Drosophila melanogaster: one gene and its partners. Changing the gene in region 2 together with the main gene of any one other region gives a genetic interaction. Each region holds a gene or a part of one and is shown on either strand. Other genes may lie near its edges. The genes, in order: shn, dpp, rho and mxc.

What was found.
Region 1: of dpp (region 2) and shn, changing one suppresses a phenotype caused by changing the other (phenotypic suppression), as found in Drosophila melanogaster (2 studies listed by BioGRID).
Region 3: of dpp (region 2) and rho, changing one suppresses a phenotype caused by changing the other (phenotypic suppression), as found in Drosophila melanogaster (2 studies listed by BioGRID).
Region 4: of dpp (region 2) and mxc, changing one enhances a phenotype caused by changing the other (phenotypic enhancement), as found in Drosophila melanogaster (one study listed by BioGRID).

Annotation. Positions count from the first base shown.
Region 1 is NT_033778.4:11,172,290-11,176,837, reverse strand, and holds the start of shn (schnurri), read right to left. Parts: upstream 3,036-4,548; 5' UTR 2,064-3,035; coding exon 2,033-2,063; intron 1-2,032.
Region 2 is NT_033779.5:2,426,527-2,431,390, reverse strand, and holds the start of dpp (decapentaplegic), read right to left. Parts: upstream 3,020-4,864; 5' UTR 2,341-3,019; intron 1-2,340. UniProt on the Drosophila melanogaster protein: Required during oogenesis for eggshell patterning and dorsal/ventral patterning of the embryo.
Region 3 is NT_037436.4:1,461,948-1,469,470, forward strand, and holds rho (rhomboid), read left to right. Parts: upstream 1-1,863; 5' UTR 1,864-2,183; intron 2,184-3,518; 5' UTR 3,519-3,539; coding exon 3,540-3,875; intron 3,876-4,542; coding exon 4,543-4,960; intron 4,961-5,092; coding exon 5,093-5,406; 3' UTR 5,407-6,997; downstream 6,998-7,523.
Region 4 is NC_004354.4:9,237,437-9,244,992, forward strand, and holds the start of mxc (multi sex combs), read right to left. Parts: upstream 6,032-7,556; 5' UTR 5,769-6,031; coding exon 5,723-5,768; intron 5,665-5,722; coding exon 5,497-5,664; intron 5,434-5,496; coding exon 5,259-5,433; intron 5,190-5,258; coding exon 4,889-5,189; intron 4,785-4,888; coding exon 818-4,784; intron 756-817; coding exon 53-755; intron 1-52. Other genes in the region: Larp7 (La related protein 7), read left to right, coding at 6,440-6,710, 6,771-7,556.

The DNA of each region.
Region 1 (4,548 bases), on a different chromosome or scaffold from region 2:
CCCAGCTACCCAACCTCAAAGATCAAACTCAAACTCAAAACCCAAACCCATACCCATTCCTATTCCCATTCCCCCAACCATACTCAAACCCATACCCAAAGTCGTCTGCATACCAAAACCAAAACCCATCGGCAGCTGGAAGTCAAGTTGGAGCCAAACTCTTTGAGCATGTTGCGCCTGCTACAGTGGGTACTCCATGGAAGGACGACTTTCATGTTAAAGGTTTGATGATTTTGAAATATATTTAAGAAGTATTTCAAATAATCTCTCTCCAAGTTGCCAAGTATTTTCAATTGGTCATGGTTTACAAAACAAAATGGTTGAGTTAAAGTCTCAACAACATTGTTTAAAAAGTTAAGTTGTTATTATTGTTATTAAAACAATAATATTTCGAATATAAATATTTATAACATTTCAGCATAATTGGTTTAAAATGCTATAAAATAGTTTTAATATATTTATTTAAGAATGTTATATTTAATTACTGGTTTATTGTTTCAAAAGGCGAAATAAAACGCTCACGTTGTGACATATTAATTAAATCAAGTTCAATAAAAAAAAAGTGATTGATCGGATTGAATATATTCAATTACTGGTTGCCTAGTCGGTTTGGTTTTGAAATGAAAAGTAAATTCATTTAAAGCATTTAGCTGCAGCTGATGGAATGCGCACTGTATCCGCCCAGCGAGCAGTACTTGGCATATATCAAAAGCCAGGCAGCACACTTGTATCTCATTTGGCAAAAGTATCTGCGGATGTCGCGGGTTGGGGCGGGCACAAGAAAGTATCTGGCTTTTTAATAGGTTCAAATTGTGGCATGAGTAACGCAGCGCACAGAGCAACTTGACTAACAGGCGGCGTGACGTGACGCAAAGTATCTCGGCTATAGCGATTGTGGATGTGCAAGTCGAGTATCTGTGACTGTGCGCCTTTTGTATCTGTATCTTTGTATCTGCGTATCTGTGAGCTAGGCTGCCTGTTGAGCGGGTGAGCTGCGCCAAAAGTTCATGACGCTGGCTGAGCTTGATTTTCAGACCATTTTACATGGGGCAATTCCGATTGCGACTGGCTGGCAAACAAGCTGCCTTGTTTGCGTCTGTTTTTACGTTTTTTTTTTCTTCTGTTTTTCAGCTTCTCTGCTTTTCACCCGCTTTCTGTTTTCCTTTATTTCAGCTCTCTGTTTTTCCCCCTTTCTTTTGCCCATTTCGTTTGTGTTTTTGTTTTGTTTGCCGCTGCCCTGTGAGTGTGCGTTTGTTTGTGTGCCTGTTTGTTTGTTTGCCTTTTGTGTGCGCTGGGGGATTACGTAAGGGAATCCCCAACATTTTGCAGCGCGCGCGCCAACGCAACTGAATTAAAATGATAAGGGGACTGTGGGTGGTTGGGCGTGGGCGCAATGCAATGAAAAGTGACTACTGACGCTGTTGTTTCATGTTTTATGCATGCCCTCCCTCTCTTTGCTCTCGCCCCGTCCCTCTCTCTCTCTCTCTCTCTTGCGAGTGGAGCACTCATGGCACACAAATAATAATGCAAAAAAATATATATCTTATAGATACAGCCAGAGGTTTCGAGTGGGGGCGTGGCTGAATACTACATACATTCTTAATTACATATTTTTCCCTTTGAGCCGCCAAGAAAAAATCACTGCACTTGACGAGATTCTTTGAAGCTCTGAAGCAAGGACTTACTGTCTTGCCATATGGCAGCTGTGAAACTCGTCGTCCTTGAGCTGAAGCCCAATTTTTTTAAGACCGCTGGAGTTCTTTTAATAATCAACAAACTACTTGGAGTGAATTTGTTATCAAGAACAAAGCAGTCAAAGTTCGATCTTATAATAGAACCACTAAATATAAAGATTCCAAAGAAAAGTCAGCATAGAAATTGTGGATATTGGGTCCCTTTTCCTTGTAAACACTTTATGGAAACGTTTGCAAAATAGCTTAAAATCCTTGAGAAGAGGCAATTTCCCGGAATTTCGCTGGCATATTTTCGAACTCACGCTTGATTTGAATAATTAACAGGAAAATGTACTTACTGCCTCGACCGCTGCCCTTGCGTCGCGCCATTTTCCCTGCTTCAAAGTTGGTGTCCCGTTTTGGCGCTGTCCGCTGTCCGCTGTCCCGTTGTCCTTTTGCACAGAACAATACTGCTGGAAATTAGGATCCTTGCGCTTGACTGATGTATATTTAATCAGAGGCCGCCTACCCGCTGGCACGCCCACTTGCGACACTGGTTCTGGTCTGTTTGTATGGCACAACAGCAACAAAGCTTGTACGTGTGTCGACGTCCTTGACGCACACAATGACAAGCGTCCTTGTTTGTCTGAGCGTATGAGCGCGCGCGTGTGTGTGTGTTTGTGTGTGTAAGCGAGTGTATGGGTGTGTGTGTGTGTGGCCTGGTTCCCGGTTCGCTGGTATTTGCCAACTAGACAAATAGAGGAGCCATGATGTCCAAGTCCCTGGTATTATCCTGATATGCCGCTTGCCTGTCGACCTGGTGGAGATTGCAACCCGCTGGCTGGCATCGCTGCTATCCTGCCCAAGTCTCAGTATCCTTGGTTGCTGTAATTGTGCTATATAAATCCATGTAGGCGTATCCTCTGCTCGCTGTGTAAAAAAAACCTCAATTCGGAAATGTTCGGTTTGATATGCCGTTCCTTATTTTTGTTGTGGTAGGTTTTGTTTGATTTGTATTACTTTTGACAGACCCTGCGTATACGCAATATTCGCAACTAAATCGCGCGCGCCGCGAATTCTTTCAGTTTTATGTGCTGCGTGTGTGTATGTATGTACACTCCTTATCAACACTGTTTCATCCGAGGGCCTCACTTTATTTCATATATATTATATATCTCTTTCGAAATATGCGCTATATGGCTGTTGCGGAATCTATTAATAAAACGGACATGTTATTCACCATGCGTTGCGATTTGACTTGATTTGATTTCGTTGCTGGCTTTTTTGCGCATTTACCGAGAAGTGCGAGAAGCGCGCGAAAACGAGAGGCGTGCGTCGACGTCGGCGTTCACGGACAAACAGAGCCAGCGAGAATCCGTTAGGCCCCCAAAAGCCAAAGCCAAAGCCAAAAGCCCGAACGCCAAGAGCACACCCAAAGTGAGCTCTCTTTTGGCGCACAAATGAGAGAGCCAAAGAGCGACGTAAGTGGCTTTCAATTCGACCAGCCGTTTCGTTTCAATCGAAAATCGCCTTTCAACTTGTCTGTTTACCTTTTTTCTTTTCCCACTCACAGAGCAGCGAAGAGAGTTCGCTAAGAGAGTCGCCTTATCAGTATTGTGTGTGTGTGTGTGTGTCCAAAGCTTAAATGCCAATAGCAGGAGCTCCAGATGATAAGCGTTATTTACTTGGCTTACCTGCGCTGTGATAATACCTGGGTTGTCTGTTTTATCAGTTTGCTAATTTACATTTTTAAGATTATCCACACAATTGATAAAAAGGTAATACTTTTCTAAGCCTAAATGTATGCAATATCAAAAAACAACATGGTGCTTCAGTGGAAAAGCATTGATTTAGGCGATTTGATAAATTAATTATAAGGAGTTGCTAAAAATATAAACATGTCATTATAATATATTTTAATAATCATAAACTTGGTGGGACGAACACACAAACCTTATAAACTAGCTGCTGCAACTCGCAGCGAAAATAACGAAGATAAACATTTAATTCATGGTTTAAAAATTATTCTAAATTATAGATGAAGTTTGATTCTAAGATATGTACTCTGTTGAAACACATTTTAATTACTGCACATAGAATCGTATCCATTCCAATGATAGTAATGTTTCGACTTAATTTAATATTCATATGCATAAAAATAGCAAATTCGATGAATTAAATGAAGACGTTTAAATGAAGGCGTCCTATTCTTTGATACAGCCATTAATGTTTCCGATTCATTTAAGGCAGACACTTTGGGCCCAGTCGAAAGCTGTTCGAGCCGCAACGCCTCGTAACGCCTGGTGTCGAAAGGCTGAAATAATGCGGCTTCAAAGGAAATTAAGTGCTGGCGAAAATATGTACATATGTGAAGAAAAGAAGAACATATCGCAGAACATTGGCGATGGCGATGTCAAGTGGATGGGATTTTGGCTGACAGCTGTGAGAATTCCCAGCCAAAGTGACAAGTAAAAGGCGTGGCCTTGAGCCTCATTTGCCAGCCCCAAAACGCCAACGGCCGCCCTTCAATTTAAATTCATATGGGAAGATATACGATGTTTGGCCTAAACGACTTTCAATAAATGTGGTTTGTTTCTTTTAAGAATTTTCACAAATCATTGATATTTATTAGAGCCGCACGCGTGACCACCCTAATCACATCACTCATCCTTATGTTCAGAGTTAACCCCCCTGCACCCCCCCCCCCCTGTGTTATACTATGCTCCATCGTCAATGAAAACGAATATATGTACTATGTTCGAACAGCTGTTCTTTGTTTACAATTGGCGCAGGCGCCCAATTGGAAATTGTTCGTGTGCGTGTGTATGTTCGCCCGGCTAGAAGGCCTTCCAGTTCCAGTGCGAAAGCAGTTCGA
Region 2 (4,864 bases):
AAGATGACCTTATACAATATATTTTCGAGAGAGAATTTATAAAATAAAAAGCAAAATTGATCAGTTCTCGATTTGACAGACAGAAGACAGAAGATCGTTGCCAAATCGTGTCGTTTCGTTTGGCCACCTTGAAGCTAAGTTCATTCATCTTCGTTTAGCATAGAAGTTTAGCAGGTGATTGAGCTGGGCTCGCTCGACTTTTAAATAAAAATGTAAACTAATATTATTAGATAGTTGACATAGTCAGAATATTGATACATATTGGAATTGTTAGCTAGCGTTTCTTGCTATGATTATGATATAATAACACATAATTATAATTTAAGTTTGCACCTATCAAATCACACTTCTTGTGCAATCCAATTGGTTTTCCAGTCAAGGTGTATCCCATAAACCATAAACCCATCGAGCAGCAGCCAGCGATATCGGATATCGTTCTCGGCTGCCTTGAGGCGCCACATCAGGCGGAAATCTGGCATCGGAATGGCCCAAACGGTAGACTGAGGTGCAAAGTCCGGGCCAAAAGCACCTGAAGCATTAGTTGCAGTTGCAGTTGCCACCTGCTGCAGCCTCTTGTTCGAACACCCTCCCCCCCCCCACAATCTTTCGTGGGGCAATTCAAGTACAAGCGAATACCAATGGAAATATTTTTGTGGCTGTGTGTTGTTTGCATGGAAACGTGATAGCAAAAGTTGTTGCTGACCGGGCCAAGTTGTTGTTGCCGCTGTTGCTGGCCGCATCTGCTTGTGGAATTTATTTATCGTTAAGAAATGCGTGTAAAATAAGTGAAACTATTGGGAGTCTCAAGCCTCCAGAGACTGACCAGTTTCTTTCGGCGGCCAACGGGGGGGATGCGGTTGCTAATGCCACCACTTTTGATAAAAATGTTGGCCTAAGCCAGTTGTTGCTGCCTGCTGATGACCAGTAGCCACTTAACTTGGCCGAGAGCGGGGCGAAGCGGGCATGGGCAGCAAATTATTGCCGCATTGCTCAGTTGTTGTTATCAGCAACGTGATTTGCCAGGCCAAGATGAAGATTGAGATGGAGATGGTGATGGGATGGCATGGAAGTGGAAGCCAACTTCAACTTGGCTGCTTCATTGCGTGCTCACGATTTTTATTTCATTTTCGTCGAATTTCCGAAAGTGGTAGACCTTCATGGTCTCATCGTCAGCTGTTGCTATATCTGTGTAGCTATATCTCATTATATTGCTGCTCTGTCTTGCTGATGTGTTGCTTCTATGTAGCTGATGCTGCTGCTGCTGCTGCGGTTGCTTAGTTTTGTTATCGGGCTTTATTTCTGTACCTTTGCACATTTCGAAGCTATCAATTTCCCACCTAACCAACGGGCTTGCTGCGCCCTGCGAATGCAAATGCAAATCGCAGTTAATAAACTAATTGAGCCTAGTGGGGTGAACTTTGACACTGATTTAGTGCCCCCAGTCGCATTAGCAAGGCAAATCGAATAAATCGATATAGATACCGATTAAGATTTAGATTCAGATTTCGATGCTGATTCCGATCCCATGTGGGATGGCTTATGCAATCGTGATCGATCAAACCAAACCAAAGCAAAGCTAAGCGAAGCAAGCCCTGCCCAGCCACGCCCAGCCAGTCACATATAATTATTCAATTAGCCAAATGGCGTCATAAATTAACGAGTATATGGCATATGGTCAAAGGGTTTTTTACCATGGCCAATGTCAGTGTCAGCCGCTAATTGTGACTGGTGTGGAATGCCGTTAATTCAGTTCATCACTTGGCCCCCATGAATATGCAAGTGACACCCGATCTCCACATGTCTCTGCTGATAATGTCCGGGGTCCAGAGATAGAATTTCACTTTTTCCCCGGATACTGGCGTAAATCTGTCGAAACTTTATGCAGTGATATCAAGTTGGCGGAAGGGACTTATCTATTGGCAAACTTATTAAAGCAAACTAGATTTCCTCATAGTAATATAGATTTTTTAGGTGTCTTCATAAATGTAAATGCATAAAAGTGAAATGGTTGCAAAGTTTATCATTAGAAATCTAAACAGTGCTAAAGTCTCTGAAGAAAATGAACATAATATACTGCAATTGCTATTGTTTCAGAAATAATCCACTGACTTCTGAGTTACATGTATTTATTTCTTTCACATTTATATACATAAGTAATCAGCCAGTCTATATGCATTGTATTCATATGTATATGTGTATGTGACTCACGCATTGCACCCAGTTCCAGTTTTCCCAGTCAGCTGTTTAACAGCCGTTCAATTGATTCGATTGATCTCGAATTGGACACGCAGCCACCATGGCGTATGCGCATTATTTGCTAACACTCTCGGCTTGGCTTACCTGGTGCACCTGCTGCACGCCGCTCAGTTACGCTCCAAAATCCACAAATCCTTTGGCTGCAACTGCAACAACAACCAATTCTGGCAGTTCGCGAACGTCGCATACATTATACACTGGTTCGACTCGGATATCCACTCAAATACTTTCGACCTATCTATCTCGCTGTGGCTTCGATTCGATTCGATTCGACTTCGACTTCGATTTTGGCTTATGGAAATCACTGGCACTTCACATGTTTGCTGCTGACGATGGTGGCCAAGCTCAGACTTTGGCTATTTTCGATTTGGATTTGGCACACAGACACATCACTCACTCACACTGGCACACTCGCAAGAATGGCGATGGTTACGAATATATTATCTGATACCGAATCGGTATCAAAAATCGGAGAGGCTTTGGCTGGCTGACGAGCGATCGCGGAAACGAGAACGAGAAACGACGGGAGATATTTTCTGTTTTTTCTGTGGTTCTTCAGGCGCGACTATCAGCGTTTAACTCGGATTTACTTTATTTTATGGCCGCAGAAACCGCGAACGATTACAGAGCAGAAAAAAAGTGATTAGAGGCTGTATATTCGGTTGTAACCAGCGATCTTTCGCCTCGATTTGGCGACACTCTGTGGACGAACGAACGCGTTTTTCGGTTCCGTACAACGAGCGTTGAGCGCAAAAAACTGAATGAGCGTCCAAAGCGGCCGAGGCAAGGCAAACAGGCAGGCAGGCAAAAGCGATCCGGAGACGGAGCAGCAAAAGCAAAAGCAGAAGCAGAGCCGAGCAGCAGCAACAGCAACATCAAAGCAAAGCACAGCACAGCAGCAACAGCAACACAAGCAGCAACAGCAACACAAGCTAGTTAGTTAGTTTTGAGCTCGTAGTAGTGAGAGTCAATCGCACACACACTGCCGACCACGATGGCAAGTTGCTTAAGTCGCTCAAAGCGCCATTTAAGTTGAGTAATTAAAACAGGCAGTATGTGTGTGTGTGTGTGTGTGTGCGAGTGCGATTAATTATTAATCAAGCCAAAAAAACAACAAGCAACCGCTAAGGCAACAATAACAAACAAGCCAGACTCACAATTACAATATTTCAGCTCTCTCAGTCGCCGTCTTCAGTCCACAGTCTCCGGTCCACAGTCTACAGTCAACACAGAGTCTTCGGTCCTCAGTCTTTAGTGTTCAGTCTTCTGTCTTCTGTCTCAGCTGCGATATCTTGACTTTCTTCAAGTCTCTCTTCGAGCCAAAGCCACAGAGCTGTTACACATTTGACTTTTCGGCGCTGCCGCAACTGGTTCGGTTTATTTTTGGCTCTAAATCTCGGACTAAGTCGCGGACTTCTCGAGACTGCAGCGCTGCTAATGCAAATCTAAATTGATTGCAAAATGCTTAGAGTCCCGAGCAGACAATCTTTCGAGTCGATCGGCGTTGCCGGATTGTTCGGCTTGTTCGAGTTATAGGAGCTAGATCGTTTTGAGATATGCCAAAGTGAGAGTTTAATGAAATCGAAGCACAAAAGTCAGGCTCTGCAGATAACACACACATGAGCTCCGTTTGACTCATCGATCTATTTAATATTTTTAAAAATTTTGTTTGTCCTTCAAAATGTTTTATTTGTTATTTAGGCCTTGATACTATGATTCCCCAAGCCTTACTCACCATATCAATCATACGCCTCGTGTGCCCATCTGGCAACGCTAGCTGCCCAAAATCCATGCAGCAAACTCAATTGATGCCGCTGATCTGGTTGTTGTTCTTGCCGCTGATGTAATTAAAATATTGCACTTGTTACTTTTACCAGCGGCTGTTCTGTCTCTTTCCCACAGCCTTTCTTCCCGTATATTGTGCTTGCCTCAGGAACACAAGTGCAACAAAACAAGCAGCCAAGGAGCAGAAAAAGCACAACAAGCACGCTGACAACATCGACTTCATCGTTCGCCGTGTGTCGTGTATTAAAACTTGTTCATTGGAATTTTCTAATAAATCAATAAACGCAGACAACACAGCGCAGTGCGGCGGGGGGCTCCAAGGGGGGATCCAACGGGGGCTCCACAGAGGGGACTTCGGGGGGCCAGCGGCATCTTGGCACACAGCTGGCGGCATCGGCGGACCGACGGACAGATTGCCGCACGCATCTCGCAGATTGCGCATTTTATAAATAGCTGCCTCATTTTTTTTCTATTTTTTAAGGTTATGGAAAATTTTAGTTGTTGTTATTATGATTTCTTGCTATTTTCCTTTCCAACTCGATCAGCCAATCGCGATTGTAGGCTATGGCCAAGCGGCAGCATTGACAACACTTTCACACAGTCGATGCACCCAGAGAAATATAGATATTCAAATCAATTACAATTCCATTATGTAATGAAAATGTTGTAAAGTAAGGAATAACATCCTTACAACATAACGAAAGATTATGGGAAACAAGTACGCACTTTGTAAAAATGCCTGCCTATTACCTGATTAGCTAAATTGCACTTCATTTCTCTGCGTGTAAAATAGTCGCTTAGCCGTCAGTATTTCCGTAAATAA
Region 3 (7,523 bases), on a different chromosome or scaffold from region 2:
TGCTGTGCGGCGGGAAGCGCAAGTGGCGGGCGGAATTTCCTGATTCGCGATGCCATGAGGCACTCGCATATGTTGAGCACATGTTTTGGGGGAAATTCCCGGGCGACGGGCCAGGAATCAACGTCCTGTCCTGCGTGGGAAAAGCCCACGTCCTACCCACGCCCACTCGGTTACCTGAATTCGAGCTCGAGTGTTTTGGGTGGCTGAGATTGCTTTGGTACGGTGGCTGACCTTGCCAGTGCCAGTGGGTCCATGTCCGTGGAGTGCTGGCAATGCGTGTCTGGCACAATGAAAACGCAGCAATGGAGGATGGAGGAACTCGACCTGAGGGAACGTGGGAAAAAAGGATTTACGATGAAGATGAGCTGAGAAACTCCGAGCTGATGACGTGCCTGGTCATGGGCATGTAGTGCAGCAACTGTGTTTTCGTATCTGCTTACCTGTTGCACGCACATGTTAAAAAGTCATCATAAATCTCAGTGGACGAGGACGAGGACTCTGAATCTGTTTCGCCTCTCTTTTGCGCCCAGTGAAAATATTTTCACTTTTCATGCGGGAGTTTTCATGCCGCCGATGAGGATGACTGGCCAGGATGGGTATATCTATCTATTAGATCTGTGTAAATTCCCAGCTTATCATGCAAAACACGTAACCACGTCGTCTCGATCCTTTCGGCCAGGAAGCCGAAAGCTACTCCTTTTGTGCAACATGCCGTGGTGACCTTTCCCGCGAACTCGTGACTGCAACGGCTCAGGCTGCCTAATAATTTGTATAAATATTTATTTTTGCTACCGATTTCTATCTGCTCGCTCAACGCCTCCGAGGGAGCTCTCGCTGGAAAAGGTGTGAAATTCGAAACCCCTGACAATGATGATCTTCTACGGGGAATCGGGGAATCAAGGGGAATCAGGACGGGGCTCGGTTTCGAATTCGATTCCATGACATGTTCTGCATTGCTGAGCCGATATACTTTATTTGCATTTTTGGCCACTTGCAGTGGCACGTTCCCTTAAAAACAACAGAATTATAGAAGCAATGTTTTAGCTATTGAACGGTTACGTATCAATAGAGGAATTTTAAAACTATTTCTAAGCAAGCAAATAGTTTTGCTAGTTTTTTTAGTTTAGAAACTAATTTACATTACCATTGTGAGCAATTGTGACATTGAAGTTATTTCTGGAAACTATTCGAAAGTGCGGAGCTAAAGAAAAAGCGACTGCTACTACCGATTTCATCATCTTTAATTGTGTTAACAATTTGTTTGACTTTCTTGTCTTTGTTTAAAGGCATCGACGGGAAACTCAGCAAAACAATGGACTTGGTACCTTTACAAATACAACTAAAATGAGCTTAAACCTCTTCTAGTACGTTAATATATATTACTAGTAATAATATAAAATGAGATAAAAGTCGGTTTTGCTGAAAGGCAATTAAACGCAAAGGCCTTGCTAGAATTTCGCAACATTGCAGAGATTAGAGCTCAGATCTGCGTAGTAGGCCATGACAAAGCGCAGATCGCTGGAGATCGGCGAGAAGACAGAAGACAGAAGACGACGCATTTGTTAGTCAGTGGCATTGGCAAGAAGTGCTGGCCCGTCTGGATGAGTCATTCACCGTTATGTGGCAAGGCGGCAGATGGGGGAAACCAGTGAATAACCAGCGACGAAAAACCTTCGAACCGCTCGCCTCGAGCTGCAGCAGTCGAGTGACTGCAGTGCGCACACCCCACCCACCCACACAAGACAAGATCCGGATGTGCCATGCAACACTTATACGGCCGAACCAAAACACAACATGTTCGAAGTGGCTCTCTTATACTGCACCGCACAGCGAGCACTTATAAAGGCCGGCTGCCTTGCCTTTCGAAAGTCAGTTGCGTGCGAGCCGCGAGCGCGAGATCATCAAACTGAGAAAGTCGGACTGCGACTCGAAACTGAAATTGAAACTGAAAGAAAGAAATATTCAAATTGTCGTGTGTGTGGGTGCAAGCAGAGAATATATATCTCAAGAATATCTGAATACAAGCTCCTGGATTTACGAGCAGCAAAACTAAGTTACCAATGTGCGAGCCGAAAAAAGCGAGTGAAAAACGTGCGAATATGCCAGCTAACTAAAGACATTTGGATTACAAGAAACCCACGCATTTTGGATTATAAACATTGCGACAGGCAGAAAAACCTAAGGTAAGCCCCCGACCCTAATGAGAAAATGCGCGAGAGCTAAAAGATACAAGATACAAAATATGAGTTGCGAGATACAAGCTACAAGCCACAAGGGATATGCAAGAAATGTGCAAATTGCAATAGAAATTGTCACAGCGGCAAAACAAAAGCATTTCAACTTAGAGGCGTAATGAGTTTGTTCAACCTGTGTGCCCGCTCGCTCTATCTCTCTCGCTCGCACCCTTTGCCCGTTTTTTTTTTTAGGGGTGCGAGTGCAGCAGAAAGCATAAAAAATGCAAATTACACCGCGGGCCATGTGAAACTATGTTTCTGACCAAACAGACAAAAAAAAAAAATGAGAAGAAAGAAATGATGAAAAGAAGGCCGAATGAATTAATTCATTATGTCTTAAAGCCCGCTTTCGACATCTCTTCTTCATGCTCGCATGGACATTCGGTGCAGTCTGCAATTAAAGTTAATAAATAAATTAATTAATAAGCGGCCGACTGCGATTTCGTGCCTTATTGAAATTGCTAGGCAACCGAAATGAAGAACATGAAAAGAGCGCCAGCCAAGGCACGGCACCCACTCACTTTTTCGAGCAGTGTAGGTAGCAGACACAAAAGCAACAACGGTGCGTGTGTGCAATGCGACTTGAGGCGAAAGAGAGAGAGGGGGCATATGCGAACACAATGAGTGTGAGTGGGAGAAACGCGTTTTTTTAAGTTTATTTTTTTTTTTTTTGTTGAGCAAGGCAATGAATTTGTTATTTTTTTTCCTTGTTGCGACGAACAGTTGTTTGGGGAATTTAAGAAGATTTGTGCTGTGACTGTAATTGAATCGAATGCGATTAACATAATTTGTGAGGAAATGTCTCTGGGCAATGAATTACAATAATGCCTGGCCATTAGCTGATTAGTTGGCCATTAGCGAAGATGATTTCAGGGCTGAAAGTGCAGTTTATGTAACGGCGTAGATGCTACACAAGCTACATCTTCAATTTTGTCCAGCTAATTTCGGGCCACAAAAGCAAACTTGGCCCATCAAATTTTATGGTTAGCTCACACAAGCTGACCCAGTTTTCCCTTCGGGGAAAAGCAGCCAGGAAGTTGCAGGCATCGGAATCCGTGTCCCAGGCCATAAACAAAATTCTTACCCACAAAGAAGCAGGCTTTTCCTTCGCTTTTCTTTTATTTCTGCTGCATTTCCCCACACACTCTGGTTTTTCTGAAGTGTTGTAATTGCTCTTGTTTTGTGCTGCGTTTTATGAATAACTTATGCACTTAATTGATTTTTGTTTATTGTTCGGTTCAAGTTAATTAATTACACACTTTATGCGCTCCTCTCTTTCTCCAGAATTTCTTCAACGGCGCCAGCATGGAGAACTTAACGCAGAATGTAAACGAAACCAAGGTGGATTTGGGCCAGGAGAAGGAGAAGGAGGCGTCGCAGGAGGAGGAGCATGCCACCGCCGCCAAGGAGACCATCATTGACATTCCCGCCGCGTGCTCCAGTTCCTCCAACTCCTCGTCGTACGACACCGATTGCAGCACGGCGAGCAGCACCTGCTGCACCCGCCAAGGCGAGCACATCTACATGCAACGCGAGGCCATCCCGGCCACGCCACTTCCGGAGTCGGAGGATATCGGCCTGCTGAAGTACGTCCACCGCCAGCACTGGCCCTGGTTCATCCTAGTGATCTCCATCATTGAGGTAAGCACACACACAGCGAACTCAGTAACTCAACCCATTAAATCAAAGAAGCCGCAAACTTTCATCCCAAGAGCGATAAAAATGATATAGGGGGCGGAAAGCGGCGACGAAGGGCGGAAGTTTTCCGAGAGTTTTCCTCGCTTTTCGTGTTTCGTTTTCTGCGTCTGACTCGCTGGCGCCCCCGAAAATCGATTGTAAACAAGTTGAACAACAAAACAGCCGAAGGAAAAAAAGCGAACAGAAAAGTTTATGAAACCAGACCGTTCGTAGTTTTTTCTTTTTTTTATTTTTTAAGGGCAGACCAAAAATTGTCATGTGAAAAACAGTGGAAGATGAGAAGATGGAAATGATAGTTAGTTTGATAGCGAAATTGGTAACTTGGAACATTGAGTTTAAAATAAACAATACACTTTTACATGACCCCTTACATTCGTATTGGAAATAATTTGCTTCGTATAGAAACTAGCACGAATATCAAATAAACAGGGCGGCCCACGGGGCGTATGAGTTTAGTGAGTTTGAAGCCCTGCCAAGTTGGCAGGACTCGCCCCTAAGCATTCTCATAAGACTTTATTTGGAACGTGGTCGCGTGCCAGACAGCAACAACATAAATCAGAGCGAGAGCCCAGAACTAACCCCCAATTCTTTGCGTCTCTGTCCATTTTAGATTGCCATCTTCGCCTACGACCGCTACACAATGCCCGCCCAGAATTTCGGGCTACCCGTTCCGATTCCGTCGGATTCGGTGCTGGTCTATCGGCCGGACCGGCGTCTGCAGGTGTGGCGCTTCTTTAGCTACATGTTCCTGCACGCCAACTGGTTCCACCTGGGCTTCAATATCGTCATCCAGCTGTTTTTTGGCATTCCCCTGGAGGTGATGCACGGCACGGCCAGGATCGGCGTGATCTACATGGCGGGCGTTTTTGCCGGATCCCTGGGCACCAGTGTCGTCGACTCGGAGGTCTTCCTGGTGGGCGCCAGCGGTGGCGTCTATGCCCTGTTGGCCGCACATCTGGCCAACATTACACTGAACTATGCGCACATGAAGAGCGCATCCACGCAACTCGGATCCGTTGTCATCTTTGGTGAGTTTCCCCACACCTTATGACTAGAATCTATAGAACCTAATCTATCCTACCTAAACACGAATTTGTCACATCTTTTTCTTCTATGTTTAACTTAACTAACTTGAATCCCTTCTGTTCTTCCATTTGCAGTCTCCTGCGATCTGGGCTATGCTCTCTACACCCAATACTTCGATGGAAGCGCCTTCGCCAAGGGTCCCCAGGTGTCGTACATTGCCCACCTGACGGGAGCCCTGGCAGGACTAACGATCGGCTTTCTGGTGCTAAAGAACTTCGGTCACCGAGAGTACGAGCAGCTCATCTGGTGGCTAGCGTTGGGCGTCTACTGTGCCTTCACCGTCTTCGCCATCGTTTTCAACCTGATCAACACGGTGACCGCTCAGCTGATGGAGGAGCAGGGTGAGGTGATTACCCAGCATCTGTTGCACGACCTGGGAGTGTCCTAAGTTTGAGGTTCGGAGTCGTCAGCATGCTCGCAGGGATTCGGAATCTGCTTGAGCTTCAGGAGAGATCGAGAGACAGAGAGTTGGTGGAAAAGAAAAGTTCACTCAACGATTTAGTTCAAAACTAATTCGATATTCGTTTGGCTTTTGCTTTTCGTTAGCATTATCTCGTTATCGTTACCGTTTGCAGTTAAACGTTTCAGTTCCGAAACATAGTACACAAACTCAAAAAAAAAAAAAACAAATCAAGAGAAATACACTGGACAAAAAGAAAGTGCGAGGAGTGAGGAGAACATAAACCGAAGCCGAAACGTGTAAACAAATGTTGTGATAGAACCAAAGACTGAATTTATTTCGCGTGTAAAAACCAAGTAAAAATCAAGAGGAAAATCAAAGAGGAGAAACAGAACTAATCGCCTCTCGCTATGATTTAAATGATTTATCCATGTTTTCAATTAATGGTTTGTCTGTTTTCTTAAATTATGTATTTATTGGCCGCAATTACTACGAATGAATCGAATCGAAGCATCAGCAAACTGTATCAAATTGTTTATACATCCATAAGCATAATGTGCTCCGAATTGTAGGATTTAGTGTTATAATTTATATATATTTAGGTATAACTAGCCCTCCTAACAAATTGTTTCAAATTGTAAATACTATTAAGTCGCACACTAGTCAAACAACAACAACAGCAACAGCAAAAACAACAAAAAAAATATGGAAAACCACAGCAAAGAACCATTCAATTCAGATCAATTAAGCAAATCGAGTTAAATTAAATTAAATTATACTAAAGTCACTTAATGCGTTACAAAATCGAGCATCGTAATCCCCTACACACACACACACACACACACACTCGAAAGTATTACTAATTATATTTATTTATGGTAGGGCAGCGAGGGTTTATTAATTCGTCAATTGAGCGAACTATTTATTTATTTATTTATTTAATAATTTAGTGAAATTCACACAAACAAGCACGAAAAAACAACAACAACACAAGAGAGAGAAGAAACAAACCAATTCAACTGTAAAAATATCCAATTGAAAAATACACACGAAAAGCCAAAGAAAATAAAAAATCAAAACATTTCAAGAATACAACAGTAATAACAAAATACAAGCAAAAGCGTTTTCATTTCCCATTTTGTATTTTTATTTTACTTTCAGTTTTTGGCTGTCGGCTCGCTTGGTTTTAATTCCCACAATTTAAGGGCAATAAATAATCGAGCCAGCAGATTATCAAGATACTTGACATATTGACCGATACACATATATATATACATATATATATATATATATCGTACGCAAATAGAGAAATATTCAAAGTAATCGCCGAATGAAAACAGCTAATCTGGCATAAAGGCCAGCAAAGCGTAAGCCAAAATAGAATCCTTTTGGGCCACAAAACCCCAAGATAGCATACTCGATTTTCCAAAATAATGGATCCACACTCCACCCGATGAAAAAAAAAAAACAAAACAAAAAAATAAAATAAAACAAACTAGGAAACGGAAATGTTCAGCACGAGACAAGGGACAGAAGAAATGCAAATAGCAAAAAATTATAGATAAATAAATAAGGAGAGAAAAATTGAACAAAAATAAATGTCTAAATTATATATGAATTTCTCGTTTTCTTCACAAATAACTCAGGGCGAGTTGAGCTTGTGTATGTATGTATCCTCTGCTGGATGAGTTTTTTGGGGGGCAGCCCAATCAATATTTGCTCCACATAAATATGGCAATTCAAAGCGAAAGGTTGCAACTACAACTAAGACTCGAAGAAAATCCTTAATTAATACCCACTCCGCAGAAGACTTGTGTCAACGAATTTTCCCACTCGAATGTTGCCACTGCCACCAATCGATAGTTGCCCCAATATGAAATATGAAGGCGCAGCATACGCATTTTGTAATAATTCATATTGTCTGTGATTCCACATCTCATGCGAGTATTATATTCAATCCAACTGGATTAGCAGGACTAAGTCCATGAATTTCCAAATCGGCATTCAACTCGAAGGACTTGAAGCGAACCAAAAACATTTGCCAGCTGTTTGCGTTTAGTCGACTAATGCATACCTATTAGCAATAAGCACTTAATAGAAAACTA
Region 4 (7,556 bases), on a different chromosome or scaffold from region 2:
TTATTATTATGATAAGCATACAAAAAATAAAATGCATATGTTCACCACTTACATGGTGGCCACCTCCAGATCTTCCTCATCTTGCGGCCCACTCCTGGATGGGGGCTTCTCCACCAGCGGCGTAGACGTGGCCGAAGGCTGTTCGCCAGCAGCAGCAACTTCCGCTCCCGTTCCACTTCCTCCACTTACACTTGCACTTCCCCCTGTTGCCGCTGTCCCGCCACTATTGCCGGTCAGGCGGCGTATCCGCTTCTTGGGTATATTGCGAATGGCGCTGGCCACCGGTTGGCCCAGACAGAGCACCTGGGCACTGGCTATGCGCAGCGTATGCAGCTGTTCGTCATCGGTCATCAAGCGCATCTGATAGCTTTTGAAATAGCTCGATGGCTGACGTATCATCGGATTGCTGGACTTTGGTCCGTTGTCCGCATATGTGAAATTATAGGTAAAACGCTCCTGGCTGCTGCTCAGGCACATGTCCTGCTCGAAGTCGCTGTCATCGGGCTCCGAATCGCATTTCGATGGCGGTGGATCCTGTTTAGGTTCTTGTATTGTTTGCTGAATTTGCGGCTTTTGCTTTGGAGATTTTTGGGTGGATTCCGCCTCCGCTACAATGGGCAGTGCCGGAGCATCGGTTGTGGAGGAGGGTACCCTTGCCTCGACACGTTTCTTGGCCGGTTTCTTGGTATTTGCCTTGATTTGGGTCTTCGTCTTTGCTCCTTCAGTGGATTTGGAGAGATCTTCCGGAGCAGGAGCTAGTTTTGCAAAGACAATATATTAGTTTCAATACCCATTCGATTGGATCTTAACTACTTACTTTTATTTTCGACTAGGCGCGAGGATCGTCGCATACAGAGATTGGCTGGCTCCCCGTTCTGTACCTTTTTCGGGCGTCCACGTTTTCCAGGGGCAGGCTGTGCCGCAATTTCAACCGCTGCTCGATTTACCTTTGGTTTGATTACAATCGGTAATGATTCCTGTTTTTTCGCAGATAGATTGAGGGCCATGAGCAGAGCGGGATCCAATTTGCCGGCTGGCGGATCTGCTGGCGCATCTGTGGCGGCACCGACTGGCGGACCAGTAGCCTCTGTGGACTTAACATTCGGATTTGGTTCTATTTGCTTTTTAGCTGCTTTTGTTTTCAGTGGTTCGATGTGCTTTCGATTTTTTGGCGATTTTTGACTGCTTGGATTGGCCAGTTTGGCATTTTCACGCATTGCAGTGAGCTTCTTGTTGGCAGTCTTTCTCCCTTGACCTTTGATCGGTTGGGGTTGCTCCTTAAACTTGGCCACTACACGTTGGCGTTTTTCATTCAGCTGCTGGCGTTGGTGTTCCTGACGGCTTGTAGAGGCCGTTGGAAGAGCGACGGATGAAGGATCGTCCGCCTCTGGCGGAGGCGGTGGAGGCGGCGGAGGAGCAGCTGGCGGTGTTAGAGGAAGCGGCGGAGGCGGAACAGGAGCAGCCACCGGTTTAGGAGGTGTAGGTTTTGTTTGCTGTTCTCCACTGGTATCCGTCTCCTGGGCCTGCTCTTTGCTTGGTGTCAGCCAATTCCGGATAGGATAGCGGACCTCCCCGTCCTGGCTAACTAACTGACCTGGCTGACTGTCGATAGCAAGCATGGGCAGAACTGCATCCTCAGAACCGGCTGCCTTCAGCCACTCTTCGTCTTCCGTGCTGCTAATGTTCGATAAGTTATCTATGTTTAGTAGCATCTCCTTTTTCTTGCTGCACTTTTCGTCGGCATTCTCGCCATTTGCCTCTTCCCCTCTGCTTTCCCCCTTTCCGCTGTGAGAACTTGACGAGGATGAGGAACTCGATGATGAACTACTGGAGGAGCTTGAGCTCGAACTGGATGAGGACGATGAACTGGTTGCCGAGGAGCTAGAATTACTAGATCCTTCAATAATTGCCTCGGGCAGGCCAGGCAAAAGTTTATAGTGCGGAAGCTGCTGCTGATCGGAGGGAAATGAGCCAGCTGTAGCGGACTCCGCACTGTCCACCGCCTCACTGCCAAAGGATCGAACGCGTCGAAGGACGGTGGGCTCCAAGGACAGGACAACGGGTTGCTTCACAGCATCTGGTGTCTTTTCTAAAACCGTTTCATTCTTTTCACCATCGTTTTCAGTTTCCTTCAGATGTTCATCCATTGGCTTCTCTGGTCTTTTCGGTGTTTTCTTATTGTCCTCAGCATGTTTGTCCTCCGGATGAAGGCTTTTCTTTGAACACTCCATTTCTATTAGCTCTTGATTCTTCTGTTGCGAAAGCTCATCCTCTGCCTCAACCTTTTTCTTCTTGGGCGTTGACCGAACCTTGGGTTGTTTCTTATCCTGCGGATCACCCCACTGTTGTATTGCGCACTGCGCATTCGCATCGGTGTGTTCCGCTTCATCCGGACGATAATAGGAACTGCCTGAAGAGTACTCAGTCTTGGCAGCACTGCCTATCGGAGTACCGGGCATCTGTCCAAAAGGTGTCAAGCGAAATCCAGGTGTGATGGCACTCAACTGGGGCGTATCCATAATACTTTTGGTATCCGAACCAAAGAGAAAGCTGCTACTGGGCAACTTGCCATATGGCGTGTCCAGAGGTGGAATGGCCATTCCTGGCGTGGGTGGGATGATAGCGGCTACACCAACACCAGCTTCCTTTGATGTGGTGTCATCTTCTACGGCTCCGCTTGCTCCTGCTCCAATGGGAGATGCTTTAAACGGAGTGTCCAGAAGCATGGCCATGTTGGGTCGCGACAGTTCTGCCGCTAAGGCCTTCGCTTGCTCCTGATCCTTTGCATATATGCATCCTTGTTCACTTTTCTTCTTCTGATCCTTTTCCTCGATCTCCGCTTGGGTTTCGTCTATGGTTTCTTCTATGGTTTCGTCTATGATTTCTTCTTTTGCCTCAAACACCTTCTTTTTCTTCAGGAGCTTTGGTTTCTGAGGAGTGATAATCTTGATGTTGATCTTCTCAGTGGAATCCCCAACACTGCGCTGCGGTTTCTTTGCCAGATTCATGGGCTCCGCCTTCGCTTTGACCATTGGAGCCTTTCGTGCTCTCGACGAAGCTGAAGTGGGTGTATCTTTCTTCTTTGGACGCCTCGAGCGGCCGGAGGCCTTTACCTCCTCGCGCTTGGAGTTAATCTCACGCAGCCGATTTTCAAGGTCAGAATTGGAGCCATGCAACTGGCGCTGCCAGGCGGCCATATCGTTATCTACAACTGCGTCTCCTCTGGCGGCGGAGCCTACATCTGGCTTTCCTTCAATCTTCTGCTGCTCCTGGAGATTCTCTTTGCTGGCCTCGGCGCTGTCATCGTGAGCGGTCGACGATGCGCTGCAGGCAGAGTTATTTTTGGGCATAATTTTCTTTTGATCCTTATCCGTCTTGGTTTCCGATTCCGCCTGGGAGATGATTCGCTTGCAGGCCTTGACCGCTGCTTGTCGCTTCTGTTTTCTTTTGGGCGTGGCCACCAACGGAGGAACCGGAGCTGCTGACGGAGCGGCAGCTGGAGGATGGGCCCTGATCACCGTCTGATTGCTGCACTCCTCCATGGCGAAGAGTGGTGGCACTCCTCCAAGGCCCTCGTTTGAGCTCAGGTCGCAGGCGGCCTGGATGATCTCCACATGGTTGATAATTGGCTTCTCTTGGGCTTTGGCCAGCAAACCAGGTCGCCTAGTGGACAGCGGCGTATTGGAATGCAGGACGCCACCAGGAGGAACCTTAGGGGAAAAAGTTAATGTTCGTACATGCGAAGTTCTCTTTCGGGGAGTGGATAAGCTACGAAAGGCCTTTACGTTAATTATTCCCGACGTCGAGGGTGTCACTCTCTCCATGACTTGTCTAGATGAATCCAGGGATGCGGGTGGAAACTTTCGCTGCTCCTCCTCTAGTTGATCTATCGGTTGCTCTTTTGCCGCCGTTCCCTGGCCCGCCTTGTTGTCCACTTTGGCTGCATCTTTTATCAACTGGACTGGAGGCTCCACGCTTGGGGGAGGTGGTTGTTTCTGGGCGCTGCTAATGATAATGGAATTGGGGGGCAGCTGATTGGCAGACAGAGTAATCGGCTCCGGCAGCGATATCTCAATGTGCGAGTCATCAATGTTGGCAAAGGCATCCGGCCCAAGTTGCTGGGCTACCCACTCGTTGTTCACCAGGAATGGAAGATGCGACAGCAGTCCACCGTTCGAGAGGTACATGGGAAACGTCAGCTGCCCGGTGGTGGCGTCCACACAAACCTGACCAGCAGCTGTCGCCTCCACCTCGCTGAGCATTGACGCTGGATCGGCAAAATTTATATTGAGGCCTTCGCTTGTAAAGCTGATATTGGACGTATCCAAACCAGCAACCATTTTTTGGACACTCTCGTTGGAGTTCAGTACGATAAGCTTGGAGATGGAGAAATTGGGATCTGCATTGGTTCCTGCGGTGGCTGCAACGGCGGTGCGAATAATAAGCGGTGTTTGCGGCGGCACGGGATCCACGGCCTGTTCTGTCGGCAGCACATCTCCATCAGCAGCGGGAACAATAGCAGCCCCAGCAGCATCAGAGGCAGGCGACACACCAGGGTCCTCCTCATTTGCCAATGGTTCATCCCCGATCACCACCTCCTGTATGATGCGATCGAACGAGGGATCCTTCTCGGTGGCCTCCAGTATGTTCTTCACTAGACCATCCAACATGGCGTCACAGCTTACCGACGGATTGTTAACAGTCACCGTCTGCAGCGCTACGTTAATATTCTTTACCAGCGTCTCCTGGAAGTCCTGATTCTTAATTATCGCGCAGGCCAGTTCCTGAAATCAATGTAAATCGAAAGAGTGTTTTTTGTTTAGAATACATAATAGATGCACTATTGGTTAATTAAGCAGATATGCATTAAGCATGTCTATGGACTTACAGGCATGCTTTGCGGCGTGAGCAGAAGTGGATTGGACTCGGTATGACCTTGGCGCGGCGTGGAATTGTTGCGCGGACCAGGACCATTCGCCGGAAGTAAGTCATCCTCCTCCAAGTCCTCGGTGGCCGTTGTGCTCTCGCCATCCTCTTCGTCCAGTTCCGCCTCGCAGTCATCCTGGCTGCCTAGGAAACTCTGCCTGACCTTGTCGCGGTTAACGCTGCAGTAGAAGTGTGGCGGCAGCAGACGCGGTCGCTTGCTAAACGAAGGCGAAGAAATGCTGTTCACGGGAGAATGGGTGCGCCTGGGGAAAAGGGGTAAGAGAGCAATGAGAATTCCGATGTGCTTGTGTCAAGGAAAAATCTATAATTACAAGCGCCTTCTCTTGCGATGCGACTGTGATATGGTGGGCTCGCCTGGGGTGCTGCTTTCATTGGTACAGCTACTCCTCTCGCCGGCGGCTATCAGTTCGCTGACCCGTTCGGACAGCTTCATCTGCTGCAGCTGCATACGCATATCCAGCGGCAGCTTCTGCACGGCACCGGCCACTGAAAAGAGAGATTTTCGGTCAGCCGCAAAAAAAAAGAAACGCAAGGAGCGTGCTAATTTACCCAAGCTTGTGATCTTGACATGCTCGCAGATTATCTCCTCCAGACCCCCGTGAAGGAAGTTGTGCGTCTGCAGGCCCTGTTTAAGGGCCAGGAACTCGTGGCGCAGGTGAGGCGATGTGCGACACAGAGTGTGTGCGGCCCTTTTTAGATTCTGGTTGACTAGGTAGCCTACAAAATGGAAGAGCATAAATATTGCGAGCTAGAAAAGCGTCCAGGGAAAACCTACCCAGGACCAAGCGAGCCACGTCCGAATGCAGGACAATCGACTCCATGGCTGGACTTTCCGACTCAGCTAAGCGTCACCATCCACTCGCTTTTCGCCTTGCCTTTCTTTTTTTTTTCGCTTGCAAGACTTTAGGTTTATCGAACGCACTTGTAATGCCTTATTATTGACTGTTGCAGGTTTAATCACTCAATAGTTAGTCGGAATTGAATCAGCGCTTTAATTCGAGAGAGAATAAACCATTTTCTCGCCTATTCGCCGACTATTTTCGTTTTGTTGTTGCCGATTCTAGCGGCGCACTGTACAACACACATAGGTTAGCATAGCATCTGTGTTTTTTTTGCCGCCCGCCAAAACAACGCAGTAGGGTTGCCACAGCGCCGAACTATCGATATAGTCCCGTTGTTTGCGCTTGGCTGCCAAGCCTTATTAGGAGCGTGGGAAATAATGGTAATAATTAAAGCAAAGAAATACGTCTCTTTCGCTTAAAACAAATTATAGCAGTTTTTATTGCTTTGATGGTCTTGCTTCAATTCGTTTTTATGTGTACGTTACAGTACTTAGAATCCGATATTCGTTAAACTATCGATATGGGAATGCTGCAAATACCTGGCATCCCAGCAATTCATAACTAGACGGCGTTGCCAAATAGATCAGAACGCAAAAACCAAGTGCAATATTTTATTCGAGTGACTTAGATTACTGGTTAACTGGCACTCAATGGCTGCCAAGAGTATCGAGAAGGAGAAGGGCGAGGGTCAGGAGCCCGCGACATCAGCGGAGAAACCCGATCCAGCCGCACCCACTGAACCAGCTGAGGAAAATTCCAAAGAACCGGCGCCGGAAGACGCATCGCCGGATAAAAAGGATGGTGGACGCAAAAGGAAGAGGCATTTGTTCAATTCGATTCGCGGTCAAATGGAATTCTACTTCGGTGACGCCAACTTGAGCAAGGATCGCTTCCTTCGGCGCTACGTAGAGCAGGATCCATGTGAGTAGCTAAGGTTGGCTCACCAGCCAACATAACACTGATCATGTTATTCTTTTACAGATGTACCATTGGAAATCTTTCTCACTTTCAATAAGATAAAGACGCTCACCCAGGATGTGCAGCAGATAGCCAAGGCACTAAGCAACTCCCAGCTTCTGGAGCTGGATGAGACCGAACTAAAGGTCAAGCGACGTACCAAGCTACCAGATCAGCGCGATGTCAACGACAAAACCTTGTATGTAGAGGCCCTGCCTGCAAATGCCACTCACGATTGGCTGAAGGAGGTATTCAGCCGCTACGGACCGGTGGCCTACGTGTCCCTGCCCCACTATCCGGGCACTAAGAAGATCAAGGAATTTGCCTTTATCGAGTTCGAAAAGAGCGGGTCCTTGGAGAAAGCTGTGAAGGCTTTTGCCCAGATACAGGGCGTTTTGTCCGTAGAAACCGATCCCAGTGATCTGGCCAGTGTGCGCTCCTTTCAGCAGCAGCAGCAGATACAACAGAAAGCGGAGCAGCCGCAGTCAGAGGCTGAACAGGTTGAGTTGCCAAAGCGAAATCTAAAAAGGGAGGCCACCGACAAGGATCGCGAGGAGATACACGAGGTGAAACGGGTTAAGTTGGAGGAGGGCCAGCCTAGCGAGACCTCTACAGCTGGGGAAACAGCGAGTGAAACGGATGCAGAGGGCACAGCCGAAGCCTCCGAGCAGGAGGACAAAACAGAGGCAACCGATGGCGATGAAGCTGCCAAAAAGCGCCGTCGCAAGCGCAAGAAGAAGGCGATCGTGGACAAGCCAAACATTGAGCCCAGTGCCCTGGAGCTCAAGGTGCTACCCAAGACTAGTTGGA